Linked DNA regions of Canis lupus familiaris. The protein of the gene in region 1 interacts with the protein of each later gene in a pairwise test. Links are inferred from orthologs where the notes say so. Each region holds a gene or a part of one and is shown on either strand. Other genes may lie near its edges.

What was found. The genes of interacting proteins can lie anywhere in the genome.
Region 2: the proteins of PDE4DIPP2 (region 1) and CCDC146 interact in binary tests that used the Homo sapiens proteins (3 or more experiments, as listed by UniProt). The two-hybrid records come from large-scale screens. The link is inferred for Canis lupus familiaris from reciprocal best matches to the Homo sapiens genes PDE4DIP and CCDC146.
Region 3: the proteins of PDE4DIPP2 (region 1) and C15H1orf109 interact in binary tests that used the Homo sapiens proteins (3 or more experiments, as listed by UniProt). The two-hybrid records come from large-scale screens. The link is inferred for Canis lupus familiaris from reciprocal best matches to the Homo sapiens genes PDE4DIP and AIRIM.
Region 4: the proteins of PDE4DIPP2 (region 1) and SCNM1 interact in binary tests that used the Homo sapiens proteins (3 or more experiments, as listed by UniProt). The two-hybrid records come from large-scale screens. The link is inferred for Canis lupus familiaris from reciprocal best matches to the Homo sapiens genes PDE4DIP and SCNM1.

Annotation. Positions count from the first base shown.
Region 1 is NC_049238.1:57,872,413-57,876,324, reverse strand, and holds part of PDE4DIPP2 (myomegalin), read right to left. Parts: intron 3,740-3,912; coding exon 3,620-3,739; intron 3,400-3,619; coding exon 3,280-3,399; intron 3,157-3,279; coding exon 2,944-3,156; intron 1,493-2,943; coding exon 1,334-1,492; intron 439-1,333; coding exon 325-438; intron 142-324; coding exon 4-141; intron 1-3. UniProt on the Homo sapiens protein: Functions as an anchor sequestering components of the cAMP-dependent pathway to Golgi and/or centrosomes.
Region 2 is NC_049239.1:17,563,539-17,568,141, forward strand, and holds the start of CCDC146 (coiled-coil domain-containing protein 146), read left to right. Parts: upstream 1-1,641; 5' UTR 1,642-1,794; intron 1,795-1,981; exon of another isoform or gene 1,982-2,199; intron 2,200-4,603. Other genes in the region: protein FAM185A, read right to left, coding at 1,218-1,641. UniProt on the Homo sapiens protein: Essential for sperm flagellum biogenesis and male fertility.
Region 3 is NC_049236.1:4,885,174-4,889,779, reverse strand, and holds the start of C15H1orf109 (uncharacterized protein C1orf109 homolog), read right to left. Parts: upstream 2,963-4,606; 5' UTR 2,674-2,962; coding exon 2,399-2,673; intron 578-2,398; coding exon 398-577; intron 1-397. Other genes in the region: CDCA8 (borealin), read left to right, coding at 3,369-3,465, 3,549-3,677. UniProt on the Homo sapiens protein: Part of the 55LCC heterohexameric ATPase complex which is chromatin-associated and promotes replisome proteostasis to maintain replication fork progression and genome stability.
Region 4 is NC_049238.1:60,887,336-60,891,912, reverse strand, and holds SCNM1 (sodium channel modifier 1), read right to left. Parts: upstream 2,963-4,577; 5' UTR 2,819-2,962; coding exon 2,768-2,818; intron 2,557-2,767; coding exon 2,486-2,556; intron 2,253-2,485; coding exon 2,164-2,252; intron 2,089-2,163; coding exon 1,991-2,088; intron 1,870-1,990; coding exon 1,781-1,869; intron 1,144-1,780; coding exon 949-1,143; coding exon of another isoform or gene 805-948; coding exon 705-804; 3' UTR 644-704; downstream 1-643. Other genes in the region: TMOD4 (tropomodulin-4), read left to right, coding at 803-966; LYSMD1 (lysM and putative peptidoglycan-binding domain-containing protein 1), read left to right, coding at 3,699-3,878. UniProt on the Homo sapiens protein: As a component of the minor spliceosome, involved in the splicing of U12-type introns in pre-mRNAs. Plays a role in the regulation of primary cilia length and Hedgehog signaling.

The DNA of each region.
Region 1 (3,912 bases):
TACCTGCATGGTAGCTTCATTAGAGGAGAGAATAGCACGCAATCTCTCTAAGTCATGATCACGCTCTCGCACAGCAAGATGAAATTGACGCAGTTCTTTTTCTTTCTCTTCCAGGGCGGAGAACTTTTCATCTATAGCCCGCTGCAAGGAAAGTAAGGATCCTAAAGCTCCTGAGGATTCACTATTGTGATCACACGTATACAATGAAAATATAAAGGAAGGGAAGACCAACTCTAAAAGCAGTAAATTAAGTGTACACATATTTTTAAGTACCTATGTGAACAGAATAATCCATAGTGCCATAAACAAAATCAAGGTACATACCTCCAAAGCAACATCTCGGTCTTGTATTCGCTGCCGAAGTTTCTCAAGCAACATTTCATTTGCTTCAAGGGTTTTGTCTGACTTATCTCGATACTGCAGGAGCTCCCGAAATTCCTAACAAGACCAAAAAATATTTCCTTTTATTCATTTATCTAATATGCATTGAATTCCTACACTCTGCCAAGCAATTTGTTATTCAGGATAAAAAACAAAATGTGATCACTCTCCAGGAAAACACAGGTTAGCAGACATAACAGACATACAAATTGTTAATTACTGTACACATGTGTATATGTGTGTGTGCATATATGAATTTATATATACATCATGCATATACGGCTATGTCTGCATAGCCAGCCACTGGGGGACCACAAGATGCATGGTCTAAACCTGCCTGAAGATGTCACTAAAGATCTCCCAAAGGGATTACATTTACTCTAAATCTTAAAGAACTGGGAGTTTCCCCAATGAAGAGGTGGTATGGGTATTTCTATCAGACAAAAAATGTATACACAATACATGCACATGAGGAAAAAACTGTACGTTCAGCAGAACATAAGGGATTCAATGGGACTAAAGCTTAGAGCAAGTGGTAGAAGTAAATACAGTCATCTTCAGTGTTTCCTATTTTCCCTGATGTTCATTTTATCACATAAGTAACTGGAAATTCCTATACAGATGTCTTCACCTACTAGATTGAGAGCAGTGGCTGTATCTTCTGTCTTCCCAGCATCTAGCATAGTATCTAGTTCACAGACATGTTTAATTTGCTGAATATTTATTGCTTAAATCTTTCAGATCTATATTTATTATTTTGTACATATGCTGATTAGTATTGTGGTTCGTGAATTGTACTTTCTATTTATTTTGTACCCTCCTGGTTCCCACCTCTCAGTTCTCTACATGTAACAGGTACTCAACACAAGTGGACTAATATCCTGAAATTACATGAATGGAACTTTCAGAGCTCTGCGAGCCCAGTTTAGTTAAAACCATTATGTAGACTCACCTGAAGCAGCTGCTCTTTGTGGCTCAGACTATGGTTTAGGTGTTGAATGTGTTGCTCATGGGCTCTGATCTCATTACATTTTTCAGTCTCCAGGGTACGAAGCTGTTGGCTCTTACTCTGTAATTCTCCTTGGAGCTGCTGCAAGGCTTTCCGTAATTCCTGAATTAAACAGATTCCCTTTTTCAAACAATCTAAAATTTTCACCTGGTTAGTAGATAGGGAGTCCTTAAAACTTTCAAGACATATAGAATAAAACAAAAGTAGCAGAAAAGTGCCATTCTTAAAATTACTGTAGAAATATTATACATGAAAAAAAAATAAAAAAAATAAAAAAATAAAAAAAAAAGAAATATTATACATGAATCAGGGGCACCCGGGGGGCTCAGTGGTTGAGTGGCTGCCTTTGGCTCAGGGTTCTGGGATCGAATCCCACATCAGGTTCACCAGAGGGAGCCTGTTTCTCCCTCTGCCTATGTCTCTGCCTCTCATGAATAAATAAATAAAATCTGGGCAGCCCCAGTGGCCCAGCAGTTTAGTGCCGCCTTCGGCCTGGGGTGTGATCCTGGAGACCCAGGATCAAGTCCCGTGTCGGGCTCCCTGCATGGAGCCTGCTTCTCTCCCTGCCTCTCTCTCTCTCTCTCTGTCATGAGTGAATAAATAAAAGCTTTAAAAAAATCTTAAAAAATATATATTATACATGAATCAAATAGGATATAGGAAGCTGTGGCAACTGTGAATGGCGGTAAGATGTAAATTTCATATTAGTAGTCTAATACTTTCTAGTTTTAAAATGATAGCTCTACTCAGCAGAACTCTGTCCCACTGGAAACCTGAATAAGCTCAAGGACAGAGTATTTCTATCATCCTTTTAAATCTTTTTTTTTTTTTTAAAGATTCTATCCATTTATTCATGAGAGATACAGAGAGAGAGAGAGGCAGAGACACAGGAAGTGGGAGAAGCAGGCTCCATGCAGGGAGCCTGATGCAGTACTCGATCCCGGGTCTCCAGGATCACACCCTGGGCCGAAGGCAGCGCTAAACCGCTGAGCCACCTGGGCTGCCCCTTTTAAATCCTTAAAAAGAAAATCGACAGCATATACTCTAGCAAGATAAAGGAACCACTTAATAATAATAATGATTATTTTTTAAAGATGTGGCTAACTGTACATGCCATTCCTCTGAGCTTGGTTGTTGTTTACCATTATTCTGTCTTGGTAATCTTTACTCACACTTCAAGAATAACCCCAGATGGCTCCTCCCTCATGAAGCTCTCCCTAACTCCCTTCCTCAGCCCCTCCTATATATTCCTATCGGACCCACACAGAACTCCTTTAACTCATTTTGGTATTTGCCACACGAAAATTCTGTTTATGTGACTATTTCATACTAAACTACAAGTAGCTTAACAGGAAAGAGCTTATGATATTCACTCTTGTATTTCCAGAACACAGCCCAATATCTGGCACCTATAGGTATGAGGGCAATAAATGTTGAACTGAATTACTTAGATTAAGCAAAATGACTCAAGGATTCAACACAAACTGTCCTGATACAAAGTTATTATCAGGGCAAAGTTAGCATTTTTGGTCACAAAATGATTGCTGATTTACCTGATTATGTTTCCAAGATGCCTCTTTCTGCTGTTCTCTTTCATGGGCTGCAGCCTCTACAAATTGGACACATCGTTTGGCATCAGCCAGTTGGCGTTCTTTTTGACGTACCAACCTCTGGAGTTTCTGAATCTCAAGCTGGCTGTAGAACAAACCACTCTGAAGATCAAGCAGAGCCATCTGTTGCTGAGCTGGGGAAGTACCCTGTGAGCTCTGGAAAAAAAAAAAAAAAAGTAAAAATTAATCAAGAGGACAGCAAGCACTGAGCAGCTGAGAAGACCAACAAAATCAAGACTGTGTCTGAAAAGCATGGCACTTCCTTAACCAGAATCTCACCTCCTGTCCTATGTGACCCTCAAATACATGAAGTTGTCCAAGCTGGCTTTGGTGTAGCATTTCTCGAAGCTTTGCCATTGTGTCATTTTGACCTTCAATCACCTGGTACAACTCCTCGGTCTGAAAATGAGACAGGGAGTACTGAACATGTTAGTAAACTAAAAATAAATTCCACTATCTCACCTGTACAGATTTTAGAAACACTGATTTAGATTACACTACAGTTTCTCTACACTAACATCTGTTAGTCTGATGATCTGTTTCTACAAAATACAGAATATGTGTCTACTTTGATAAAGCAAATAATTTCCTCACGGGTTCCTGACTGCCAAATATTTACCTCATTTTCCCTACTTTTCAGAGTTTCCTTGAGGCTTTGAATTGTACCATCTTGCTTCTGAGATGACTCCTGAGCAGACTTTAGCTCACAGCTCATTTCATTCAGTTTCTCTTGAAGAATCTGAATTCAGCAAAGAAAAACAGGTCAATTTCTTTTACCTTCAAATGCAACCAGTAAGTCCTTCCTCAAATCTAGGTTTAAAGGATTTCCTAGAGAACATTGCCTTAATTTTTTTCCCAGGTGTAGTAACCTTTAAGGCCCTAAGTCGTTCATTAAGACAAAGTAGCAGGAAA
Region 2 (4,603 bases), on another chromosome or scaffold:
GGGTTCCGAGAATAGGTGACTTAGAGGATCCCAGACGACACTTCCCGTGGATCTATAAATCGTCTGTAACTGGGAACCTGGTGTCTGCCTTTCACCAGGCCACGCAAAGCAGAACAGAAAAAAAGAGGCAAGCTCTGTGGGCGGAGGCAACTCAGTTAGGCCAGGGAGTCAGTTGCAGAGGGAGCGATAGGAAGCGCGCATCCGCTGCAGCGGGAGCCATAGGAAGCGCGCATGAGCTGCAGGGGTGAGCGATAGGAAGCGCGCATCAGGGGCAGTGGGAGGGATAGGAAGCGCGCAACAGCAGCAGAGGGAGCGATAGGAAGCGCGCATCAGCTGCAGGGGGAGCCATAGGAAGCGCGCATCAGCTGCAGGGGGAGCGATAGGAAGCGCGCATCAGGTGCAGAGGGAGGGATAGGAAGCGCGCAACAGCAGCAGAGGGAGCGATAGGAAGCGCGCATCAGCTGCAGGGGGAGCCATAGGAAGCGCGCATCAGCTGCAGGGGGAGCGATAGGAAGCGCGCATCAGGTGCAGAGGGAGGGATAGGAAGCGCGCAACAGCAGCAGAGGGAGCGATAGGAAGCGCGCATCAGCTGCAGGGGGAGCCATAGGAAGCGCGCATCAGCTGCAGGGGGAGCGATAGGAAGCGCGCATCAGGTGCAGAGGGAGGGATAGGAAGCGCGCAACAGCAGCAGAGGGAGCGATAGGAAGCGCGCATCAGCTGCAGGGGGAGCCATAGGAAGCGCGCATCAGCTGCAGAGGGAGCCATAGGAAGCGCGCATCAGCAGCAGAGGGAGCCATAGGAAGCGCGCATCAGCTGCAGAGGGAGCCATAGGAAGCGCCCATCAGCTGCAGGGGGGAGCGATAGGAAGCGCGCATCAGCTGCAGCGGGAGCCATAGGAAGCGCGCATCAGCTGCAGGGGGAGCGATAGGAAGCGCGCATCAGCAGCAGGAGCTGCGATAAGAAGCGCGCAACTGGGCAGCCCGGGTGGCTCAGCGGTTTAGCACCTTCAGCCCAGGGCCTGATCCTGGAGACCCAGGATCGAGTCCCACGTTGGGATCCCAGCATGGAGCCTGCTTCTCCCTCTGCCTGGGTCTCTGCCCCTCTCTCTCTCATGAATAAATAAAATCTAAAAAAAAAAAAAAAAAGTGCACACCTGCCTGAGGTCAGATTCGGGCTGTGTCCCGGGACCCCAACCCGGTTTGCTCCCCCTCACTTGCCAAACTGCAGAGGCGCGCTCACGTCCACGGACGCCCCGGGGTCGAGGGCGTCCGGCACGACCGCCACCTCCGTCGGCGCCCCGCCGCGCTCCAGCCGCAGCCCGCCCGGGGCCCGCGCCCCGCCCTCCGCGGCGCGCAGCGCCACCAGCACGCGGTCGCCGGCCGGGTGGGCGAGCGGGTCCAGCGGCCGCACGGTCACGTGGCACGGCAGCCGCGCGCGCAGCCGGCCGAGCGGGCTCACCCGCAGCGCCCACGCCCTCAGGCTCCCGCGCGAGGGGCCTGGCGGGGGCGGGGGCTCGGAGCCCGGCGGCCGCTCGCCTCCGCCTCCGCCGTGCGGCCGCGCCGGGCCGGCTCCGCGCGCCCCAACTCCGAGCGGGGTGAGCCGCAGGCCGCCGAGCCCGCAGCCAGGGCGCCGGGCGAACATGGCGCGCCCCTCTCGCGCTCCCTCAAACCGCCGCCGCCGCAGGCCGGGCCGCCCGCCTTAAGGCGGAAAGGCGGACGTTCGCGATTTGCCGAAGCAAGACTGCTCACTTCCGTCGGCAGTTTAAACCCTCAGCCGCGCACGCCGCCCCCGACAGTAAGTATCCACGCGGACCCCTGGACTCCCTGCCCGCGTCCTCCCCTTTCGCAAAGGCGCATGGGATTGGTAGTTCTAAAGGGGAGACAGGTCGTGGGGCTCCGGGCCGCTTAGAAACTACATATCCCAGGAGGCAACGCGCAGGGCAGAAGGGGGAGTGGGAGCAGGTGCCCACTAGCCATTGGAGGAGGGGGGAGGAGCTACTCAGATATCCAACTGGCCAATGGAAAGCGCGGAAGGAGCACGGTGGGCAGGACTGCGTGGTTTCCATGGCTACCAAGGACGCGACTGCTTTGGACAGGGTAGACCTTTGGAGTGAGACGCGGGAGGTCCTAATTTACCGAGAAAAACAGGAACCTAAAGGAGGATCAGGACCAAGTTAAGGGGTAAGAAACCTTTCAAAAGGTGAGACCTGGATGCAAACTAGAGTACCCCCAGTGAGTGGTTAGATCTAAACTTCACTAAACTAGTGCGGGATACCCTGGGGTGGTGAATCCCTGGGCAAGAAAATAAGAAACCAGATTGGTAGTTTTTTTTTTAATGGAATGCCCTCGTATAGAAATAGCAATAGAGTCCTTCCTCCTTCCTGATCCTAAGTGATCTTAAACCAGTCATTGGATGTCTCAGCGTTTTAATTTCTTCTTATTAAAATGAGGTCAATAATACTTCCCTTATTTTGCCTCAAAAAGTTTTTGCAAAGATCAAATAAGGTAATGGATGTGAACTCTATGCACAGGCTGCAAAATTGCAGTGTAAATTACTGTATTTTTGTTTTAGGGAGAGCATCGATTCTTAGTAACCAAGAAATATCTGAGAGATCAGAACTTGTGTCGACAGAAGCATTGATCTCTTTGGCTACAAATGACGCCCTCCCCCCGTTTTAGGAAAAAAAAAAAAACTAAAATAAGGAAAAAAGAGTCAACACAGTGCAATGGGAAGAGCATGAGACTGCTTATTTTCCTGGCTCTATCATTGGTTTATCTGGGTCACCTGAATCTGCTTCTGTTTTAAGATGAAGAAGGATTGTACTAAATGACTCTTTAAGATCTCTTTTACCTTTTATTCTGCAGGCAATTTAATAAAGGAAAAAAAAAAGCCCCACGAGATTTATTTCCTGCTTCCCTGCATATCTCTCCCTTTCTGTACCCCTTTCTCTTCCTACCAAGTATTCCCTATGTTCTTCAGTAAAGACAAACTGCAGTGACATTGAATAAAATGCAAGTGCCGAAACTGAGTGTCAAAAAACTGAAGCCCTTGTTGGGGTGCCCAGGGGCGCTCAGTCGGTTTAGCGTCTAACTCTTGGTTTCCACTTAGGTCATCATTCCTGGGCCCTGGGATGAAGCCCCACTTCTACTCCCCACTCATCAGGGAGTCTGCTTAAAGATTCTCTCCCACTGCCCCTCCCCCCATATAAATATATAAATCTTTAAAAACAAACAAACAAACTGAAGCCTATGGCAAAAGTGCAATAAGTGGAATTATGGGAGATATAGTGATAGAGAGATGGACTAAAGAACTAATGAACTGGTCTAAAGTCCACATGGGCCCAGGTCACAGGGTTCTCTGCTAGCCATTATCTTTTTTAAAATTCAGTGCTTTCACAAGTTATCCTTTCTTCTTTTCTGTCCTCCTAGTTCTTTCTCCCTCCTTATTCTTCCTCTTAGTGAAGGCTCATGATAGGTGCTAGCTTTTAGGTTCACCGTGTTCCCACTGAATACTAGCTCTGTCCTTGGCTTTGTTTCATTTGGTCATAATTATTCAGACAGATCTTCAAAGTGTCATTTTAATGAAAACCCACGGGGATAATTTTTAAAAAATTTGAAAAGGGCATTGGTTTAAGCAAGTTGAGAATGCACTAACATTTGTGTACACATGCCAAATATTTTTAGGTTATATAGGAATACCTAGCAGATCATTTTGTTTCTATGGTAATATTTCGTTTTCTGGAACAAACTAAGTTCATGGAATTGTCAACTGAACCATACTTGTCTATGTGCAAAATCATTGATTATTTTCAAATAAATTTATTTGAAAGAAATAAATTTCAAATAAAGATAATTGAAACACTACTTTTCTGATTATATGAGTTTGAAAATGGAGAAAATGATATAACATTATAGGATATTAAAAAGTTATTGATACTTTAAAAATACTTTTTTTGGATACATGACTTATGTATCAAATCTGTCCACATGTCAATGATGACTAATAAAAATACTGCCTTCCATCTATATGATATTATAGTTTTCAAATCGTGTCATCTTATAGTATCCTTATAAAACATTAAGTTTATCAGGGCAAATATTATCCTCACATTATAGATGAAGAAACAAATTCAGAAAGATTAAGATTAAACAATTAAGGTCTGGCCCTCTTCCCACTGTACTGAAAAGGTCCTTGATCCTCCTGACACCTTTGAAGAAAAATGATTATTCACCAAATGAATGGAGAATCATATGTAACTTTTTCCCCTTAAAGCTGACTTGGAAGATATTTTTACATCTTCAGTTTAAAAAAAAAAAAACATTCCTGTAGTCGTGAATATATATTGCTGGTGGCAGTGTAAGTTATTACAAACTTTACAGAGTTCAATTCAGCAGTATGCATAAAGCACTTTAAAAATATGTGAAACCATGACCTGGAAATTATACTTTTGGAGATTTAATGTAAGCATAAAATTAGGGATATTAAAAAAAAACTTACATTCAAGGAATTTTGTTTATTATATAATTACTTAGGCAACTTAAATGTCCCAAAATAGTAGGTGTTATATAAATCAGTAAACATCTGGAATATTATGCAGCAATTT
Region 3 (4,606 bases), on another chromosome or scaffold:
CCGTCTCCTATCGGGCTCCCCTTCCTCACTCCAGTCTAGCAACACTGGCATCCGTGCTACTTTCTGAACATATCAGGCCTGCTCTTACCTCAGGGCCTTTGCACTTGACATTTCTTCTACCTGGGACACCCTCTCCCCGAGTATCAACTGGTTCTCTCCCTCATCTTCCTTAGGTCTTTTCTCAAATGTCACTATCTCAGTGAGGCCTCTCCTGACTACCATGTTTAAGATCACAGCCCCACCCTCGCCCTTCGCTTGCCCCGTTTCATTTTTCCCCAAGTTCAAAGACAATGAGAACTGACCTGCACTCTATAGTCGTATGCTCTCGTGAAAACTGAAATGAAAAACTTCCTGAGACAGCTCTGGATGCTGTCTGAAACATATTCGCAAAGGATACGCATTTCGATAGTGTCTCTCAATATCCTGCAACCACTCCAACATGTCAGCCACAGAGGGGCTCACCGCTGAAGCCCGCTGGACAGCATCAATGCCAATCGCGTCTGCGTGCTGCTCATAGACCTCAAACACTTGTTCCACGTGCCTGCTGACAACGTCACGCACCTTGAGGAGGGTAGCTCTGGGGGGAAAAGTCTCACATTAGGCAATACCACGAGAGGACCCTAAGGCAGGGGTCCTCAACCTCAGCACATGCACATTTCAATTTGGACGGTCCCTTGTGGTGGAGAGTTGTTGTCCTGTGCGTGTTAGGATGCTGAGCAGTATCCTCGGCCTCTACCCGCTAGATGAGAGGAGCAAACCACGTCAGGACAATCAATCGGGTCTCCAGACACTGCCAAACGTCCCAGTGGGAAAAACTGCTCTGGGTGCACAGAGAGAGACTACTGCAGATAGGAGAAGTTACTTAACGCTCAATCATGTATAAAAATGGTGTTGCTCACTGCACACCCTAAGTGCTCACAACCCTGAGACTGGCACGTAGAATGACAAACACTTGTTCAATGAATGAATGGAGTGAAACGGTTCTTGGGAGGATCAAATGCAATAATGCTTATAAAGTGCTTAGGGAAGTGCCCAGCTCACAGTGAGCATAATAGTAATAATATTCTTATTATTCCAGGGCGTGATCCTGGAGACCTGGGATCGAGTCCCACATCAGGCCCCCTGCATGGAGCCTGCTTCTCCCTCCGCCTGTGTCTCTGCCTCTCTCTTTGTGTGTCTCATGGATAAATAAATAAAATCTTAAAAAAAGGGGTATCCCTGGGAGGCTCAGTGGTTTAGTGCCTGCCTTCGGCCCAGGTCGTGACCCTGGAGTCCCGGGATCGAGTCCCACGTCGGGCTCCCGGCATGGAGCCTGCTTCTCCCTCTGCCTGTGTCTCTACCTCTCTTTCTCTATGTCTATCATAAATAAATGAATAAATCTTTAAAAAAAATCTTAAAAAAAAAAAACTCTCTCTCTTCTAATCTACAAAGAAACCAAGCCTGGTTCATTGCTATATTCCCACCACCTTGTGCGTGGCTTAATTACAGGTGCTCAGCTCTCTTGTACAAATGACTACAAAGAAGATCCCTGTACTCGACCTGTTCCCGTTAGCCTAGGGCACAGACCGTATACACTGGACACTTATTTTGCTCTAGTCGAGAAAAGGCCTATCCGCGCGGGGTGCCTTTGTCAGGGATGCATTCCCTTGCGATTCTGGCTCAGGTCATGTTGTCATGACGGATCGTGACATGGGAGCCCTGCATGGGGCTCTGCGCCCAGCTGGGAGTCTCCTTGAAATGCTCTCTCTCCCTCTGCCCCTTTCCCCACTTATCCCCTCTCTCTAAAAGGGAAGGGAAGGGAAGAAGGAAGGGAAGGGAGGAAGGAAGGAAAGTAAGGAAGGGAAGGGAAGGAAGGGAAGGAAGGGAAGGGAAGGGAGGAAGTGAGGGAGGAAGGAAAGGAAGGGAAGGGAGGAAGGAAGGGAGGAAGGGAAGGAAGGAGGGCAGACTGCACACTGAGTGCAGAGCCCCAGCGCCGGGCTTGACCTCACCACCTGAGAGCACGACCTGAGCCAAAACCACAGAGCCCAAAGCCCGACTGACCACGCCAGCCAGGTGCCCCTGTAAAACGACTTTGTGACAAGAGGTCCCATTGCGGGGAACCCCCGGGTGGCTCAGCGGGTGAGCATCTGCCTGCAGCCCAGGGCGTGACCCTAGAGACCCAGGATAGAGTCCCACGTCGGGCTCCCTGCGTGGAGCCTGCATCTCCCTCTGCCTGCGTCCCATGCATAAAATCAATCAATCAATCAATCAATCAATAAATCCCATTGCAACAAATGGAGAAGAGGCGAGGCTGCGACACCTCCTTCCCTTCCAGGGAAGGGGAAACCCCCTCTCCGACTGATCCTAGCTGCTTAGGGAGCCCCCGCGTCTCCACCCTCCCGCGCGGAGCTCTTCTTACAGCGTCTCCCCTAGCTTGTCCAACACGTCGTCGCCAGCCTCCAGCTGCTTGCGCCGCAGCCGCTCCCGCAGGCCCGGGAAGGCCCGAAGCGGGGGCGCGTCGTCCAGCCGCGCGACCTGAGCCGCCTGCAGCTGCTCCGCCAGGCTGCCGAGCGCGGCCAGCAGGGGCTGGCAGTCCCCGAGCGCGCCCCGCCAGCGGCGCTGCTGCTCCTGCACGGCGGGGAAGCAGCCCCTCAGGGCCTCCCGCACGGCGAGCAGAGGCTGGTCCTGCGCCATCACCTGCCGGACAAGCCCAGGCCGGCGGGCAGCGCCAGGCGGCCCAGGTGCGAGGGTTCCCGTGCGCAAGCGCCGTGTACCCCCTCCGACCCGGGGGCGGCCCCGCTTTCAGGTCGCAGCGCTGTCCCGAAACCCGGGCCTTGAGCCCGAGTTCTGTCTCCTCCCCTGGCAGCTCCGGTCGCCTTCCCCGAACCGGCGGGAGCCCTGGAAGCCCGCGGCGGCTAAGCGGGGGCGCCCACCGGGGCACCCACGCCCGGCGCTCCCTCGCCGCCTCTCCGCGCATGCTCCAGCGCGGCCGCCGCGGCGCAAACGGAGGTCGCAACGCGCGATGCCTTCTGGGGGCTGTAGTCCTACGGGCGGAGCGTCCTTGTGATTGGATGTTGCGGGAGCCTCCCAAGACGGCGACTTCTGATTCGTCAGCCGGTGGCGGTTTGAATTCGGCGGCGGCGGCTGCACGTCGGGTTCTGCAAGGAGCTGCTCCGTCCTTGCGGCTGCGGAGGCGGGGGTTCTCTTGGACGCTTTCGGCGACCCGCATGTACGTGCCCCGCGCCTCGTTTAAGCTCGGGCCTCCCCGGGGCAGCCTGTGCCCCCCGCTCGCCCCTTAGGGCGCCCGCCCGGCCTCTCCCGCGACCTCGGCCGCTGACCGCCCCCCCCCCCCACGCCCCGGGGGCGCCCGCAGCCTCCACCCAAGCGCCATGGCTCCGGCTAGGAAGGGCGGCAGTCGGGTGGCCAAGACCAGCTCCTTGCGGAGCCGGAAGCTCGCCTCCTTTCTTCGGGACTTCGACCGGGAAGGTAGGGGGCGCAGCCGGGGTGCGGGCGGGGTGGGGTGCGGGGCCCCGGGCCCCGGTTCACCCGCCCGTGTGCCCTGCCCGCAGTGCAAATACGGTCCAAGCAGATCCAGTCGGACACACAGAACCTCCTCAAGGAGATGGACAACCTGTACAACATCGAGATCCTGCGGCTCCCCAAGGCGCTGCGCGAGATGAACTGGCTCGACTACTTCGGTAAGAGCCGCTCGCGTCCCCAGGCCTCGGCCGGCGGTGATCACCCCCGCCCCCCGCCCCCCTGCGCTGCTTATTGCACTTCCCTGCTTCACCTGTCTGCACAGGACTCTGACGTCATCTGCCCCGCAGGTAGGCAGGCAGGCAGGCAGGCAGGCAGGCAGGCATCCATCCCCTCTAAAGGACCCCATACTGAATTCTTGAAGCTTTGCAGCTACTCAATTCAAGCTGTTCTAGGCCCAAAACTGCTGGATTGAACAGGTGCATGTATGTGTTCCAGGAAAACGTTACTTAGGGACGCACAGAAATGTGAAATTTGTGTGCATTTTTTGTGTCACAAAACGCTCTCTCTCACTTGCTCGCTCTCTCTCTCTTTTTTTTTTTTTTTTGGATAGTTTATCCAGTCGCTTAAAAACGGATACCTGAATAACTTGGTTCGTTAACCAGAGCTCAGATGGTTGGAGAACCCTAAGCCGTACTTTCTGCATCTCATGGAAACCGTCAGTTAAAAAAAAAAAAAGGGCAAATCAGATTGTGAAGCGCAAGGACTCAAGTTTTTCTGGCCAGCAGAAAACTGCAGCCTGTTCTCTGGCCCCCATGTTAAATGCCCAAGGACATGCGACAGGCTCTCGTTTCTGCTCTGGGGTGCCCTTACTTTTCCTCGTTTCTTTATTATTAGCTATTATGTAGGTTCCGTCCTGCATAGAAAAGCACGTTGTGTTCAAATTGTGGTTACTTAATGACCCTTTTGACTTGCACGTTTCTACAAATACTCATGGAGCGTGCCTCTGTCCCAGTGCTAAGGGGTGAAAATGCTTTGGGAAATAACAACAGACGTTGTCCCTACCCTCAGGAGCTTACAAGTTAGTAGAAGAGGATCGTTTTAAAAATGCACACATGGGCAGCCCGGGTGGCTCAGTGGTTTAGCACCA
Region 4 (4,577 bases), about 3.0 Mb from region 1:
GTTCATCAGGGGATTATTTATACTCTGGGGATCAGCAGGCAGGGAGGTTCAAGTTACTAGGCAGAGGTGGGGCAGCTCCCTCCCTTGGTGTTCCCTGTGGCCCTGCCAATGCAGTTAGTCCCTTCTGCTCTCACAGGGTACCTACTACCCCAGCCCTCTTTTCAGATACGGGTAGGGCCCCTGGTGTCTAACTACAACTTCATGTGATCTGAAGGAGGAAAGAACTTTGAGTGAAGGTGGGGAAGAAGGCAGACAACAAAAAAAAAAAAAAAAAAAAAAAAGAAGGCAGACAACATGAAGGGCAAAGACCTCCTTCTGACAGACTTATTAATAGGGCATTGGGCTGCATGCAGCTGACGCTTGGCAGTACTTTGGTTGAAGGTGGGGGAGGGGTCAGAAGTATGGGGAGCTGTGTACATTTCAGGGAAGAATGGGCCTGGCTGTCCTGAAATGGGGGACACCTGAAATGGGTGGCTTGGTTGGTTAATCAGAGTTTGACTCTTGATCTCAGCTCAGGTCTTGATCTCAGGGTCATGAGTTCAAGCTCTACATTGGGCTCCACATTGGGTGTGTAGCCTACTTAAAAAAAAAAAAAAAAATCCACCAGTGAAATCCTGAAATGGGGCAAGGAAGTAGACTTGAAGAAAGTTAGACTCCTGGAGCCTGCTGAAATTTATTTGTGAACTGAGGGGGAAAAGAGGGTATCAGTCTAAGGAAAGGTCAGGAGGTTCCTCTTCATCAGAGTCAAACTCAACATTCTCATCTTTTACCCATCGACCTTGTCCATCTGGGATCCATCCAGAGCTGCAAATAACAGAAAATAGAATAAATCAGGAAAAGAGGTTTAAGAAGTTAATGGGGATAAGAGAAAAACAATTGAGAAGGATTGAAATAAGAAAACTCAGAAAGAAAAGAGAAAACTTGAAGAAAGTGATTCTGCATACAAACCTTCGAAGGGTGAGGTAATGATCCAGGGCTCGTTTCCTCGTGGGGCTCATGGGCACAGGGGATGAGACAGTTGCTGACTCCTTGGCCTGTGGGCCAGCTCCAGGCATGGGTTCCTTAGTGATCTTCCCACTCTCAGGCTCAACCTCTGGGGGTGGTAAAGGGGGATGGGAGACAGAGGGACGAGGGGTTTCTGGTCTAGGTAGAGAAGAATCAACGTCTATAAAAGTAGTAAAGGAAAAAGGCCAATTCTCCTATGACTCCCAATCCCTTACAGAAGTGTTTCCTAAACTGTGTTCCTCAAGATATTAGTAAATGTCTTGCATAAAAAAAAGAATTTTGGAATCATATGAATTTTTAAAAGGCTAGTATAACATTTTGAGGGTTTTTTTTTTTTAATCTTTAGACTTTGTAGAGCCCTTCGAATATATTAATATTACTACTCTTCAAGTAGGATCACAAAGTGCCATTTCCTGGGGCACCTGGGTGACTCAGTGGTTGAGTGTCTGCCTTCGGCTCAGGTCATGATCCCGGGGTCCTGGGATTGAATCCTGCATTGGGCTCTCCACAGGGAGCCTGCTTCTCCCTCTGCCTATGTCTCTGCCTCTCTCTGTCTCTCATGAATAAATCAGTAAAATCTTTAGAACAAAAACCAAAGTGCCGTTTCCTAAACTTAAAAAAAAAAAAAAAAAGCAACATTCTCTTTTTTTTCTGAAATATCAGTAAACATCTCTGGAGTATTAATATTCCTGAGAATACAATTTGTAATACCTTTATCTTAGAGCCATCTATCTCCTCTGACCCGCCCTACCTCTGGCTTTCCCACCCCACAGACCTGTGCTTCCTGCGGCAGCAACTGTTATAGTGAGGAGCTCTGTGCAGAGCACTCTGGGTGGTAAGTCGGGTCTGCGTTAACAGAGGAGCCTGGTGTGGAGATGGGAAACACAGTCAGTGTCTTCAGAGCTAGAAAGAAGTCGAAGCCCTTCAAGCCTAAGATGTGCAGCAGGCCCACCCAAAACACACCCTCCCCTCCCTGATTACCTACCTCAGCCTTGATCTCTGACTGCCTCAATTCATTCTGCTGTCTTGGATTCTGCTCCATTCCCTTTACTGGCTGCTTCTTGCCATAGAAAAGCTGCAGGCCTGAAGGTAGAGGGGAAGAGAATTAAAAACAAAACCGCAAGAGTGATCTGCAGAGATTTGTCTTCCCTCACTTACTGGACAGATGTTTCTTGCCTGCACGGTGGGCAGTCAGCATGGCCAGGGTGTCCAGTACAGGTCGGTGGGGACAGATAGCACAAGCGAAGCTGGAGAGGAGGGTAGAAGATATTCGGTGCCAGGTGAGTGGGGTCTGGTTCCACCTGGACCTAGCAACCCTTTCCAAAACCAAACTCTAGGGTCTCCCAATTTCCACCACCCACATCCCTGTCCCTCATCCCCCATCAGAAAATCCTAGATACTCCCGCTCCCCCCTTGATAACAAAATTATACGAAGCCTATAACCGCAGCACCCTCGGGCTTGATCACCCCTCGCCCTCACCGTCCATCCCGTAGCATGAGCGCTTCATCCTCTGGGATATAACTGGCCAGCAGGTCCCCGACTCTCCGTTTCTGCAGGGGGTAGCCGGACGGGACCAGTGGGAGAGGAGGGAGGGGTCAAAGATTGAAAGGCAAAAAGGACCATGAGAACAGAGATCACTGGGCGAAGAAGGGGTCACTACCCAGCTCTGGTCGCGCCGGCCCCGCAGCTGTTGCCAGAGCAACAAAACAGCTCCTTCACGGGGCAGTGAAACTGTTCCCGATGCTCCCCTCTCGCGCTTACTTTGAGCACATTGAGTTGACTCGAATCATCCCCTTCCCTCTTGAAAGACATTACGACTGAGCTCCAGAAGCGAACAATTCTCCCGAGCCGCCTCGGCCACTCCTCTCAGGCCACCGTAGCGAGAGTAAGGCGTCTTCTCCCGTCGGGTTTCTTTCCGGTTGGCCTCCTTACTTCCCTAGATGCACAGCGCTCGCGGAAAGCCCGCCCACAGCCTGCGGAGCCGACCGCACTGCCCACGCGACCCGGCGACCCCGCAGGCGCGGGGCGTTTTGGGAAATGAAGTCTTTTTTTCAAAGGGCTTGCCACCCAGCTGGCTCCCGGCCCTTGCATCTTGGCTGATTCGAGGCGTCTGGGGAGACAAGAACTTAAATGTGGAGACCGACGTTGAGGCCGTGACGGATTTGCTGAGGAGCGGGCCTTGGAAGATCTCTGAGTGGAACGTGTAGTACAAACTCTCGCGGTCCTCACGCGCCTCCCTGGCCGCCGACAGCCCACCAGGAGGGGGCTGGATTTATTCCTGACACAAGCCGACCAACCCGGGACGAGGCGGGGCCGGGGTGTGAAGGGAACCTGGGAGGCGGAGGCTGCCTGACCTGGGGGAGAGGGGCGAGCTGAGCGGAGTGTGGAGGGTAACTACGGTTCAAAGGTCAGAGTTCATAGTGGTGGGAGGGTTGAAAGTCAGCGGGGTGCTAATAAGGAGAGACTCTGGTAGGGACTGGATCCTCGGGATACAGATTCGTGGGAAGGCGCCTGGGAAGCGGGACAAACGAGAGCCGCGGGGGCGCGAAGTGCCGGGGCAGACGGGGGTTTGTGAGAGGAGACGGGGGAAAGGAACCCCCTGGATAGACGTCCCTCGCCCCCAGCCCCGTGGCTGTCGGCACTTAGCCAGGCCTCCCTCACTTGCAACCCCAGCTGCCGGCGGGGTGAGGAGATGGCTTCGTCCTCTAGACAGGCCCCCCTCGGGGGGTCAGGACTGCTACAGGGGAGCCGGGCTCGTTCTTACGGAAGCCTGGTGCAGTCAGCCTGCTCCCCGGTGAGGGAAAGACGCCTGGAGCATCAGCTGGCCCCCGGAGACACCCTGGCTGGACTCGCACTGAAATACGGGGTGACGGTGAGTCTTCCATGGTAGGGATGCAGACAACCACTCAGAAGAGATTATTCCTCATTAGAATGTAATGACCCGGCTAGGCAACTTCCCCTGAAATTTCCTAATTGTGTTGTGGTCTGACCCACCTTTATCTTTTTGTTCTCCCATCTCAGTGTTGCCTTGTCTGGTTGGGACAGACCCTGTGCCACTATCCGGGTGGAGAGGAGCTGCTTCTATTTATGCCAGTCTCTATTCTAGAGGTTTTACATACATTGGCCCATTTGGTTCTCCCATCCCCGTCAAGCATACGTTTGTTTACAGATGAAGAAACAGACTTAGATTGGTTAACCAATTTGACCAAGGTCAAATAACCAATGAGCATTAGAGTGGGAATTCAAACAGATCTGACTCCAAAGCTCGTAATATTAACCACATGGAAACTTTTTAATTGCAAGTGATTAAACATTTACAGCAAACAGTGGAGAGTTGGTTTCTAAGGTTCTTTGTGAGACCAGTGCTCTAACCACTCTAGATCTAAGTTGTTGGGTTTTTTTTTTTTTTCCCCAAAGATTTATGTATTTATTTTTGGAAGAGGGGGAAGGAGAGGGGAAGAAGGTGGGGAAAATCCCAAGCAGACTGGCAGGCAAGCATGGAGCCCCACATCCATCCCAGGACCTTAGCTGAATTCAAGAGTCTGTTGCTTAATCAACTAAGCCACCCTAG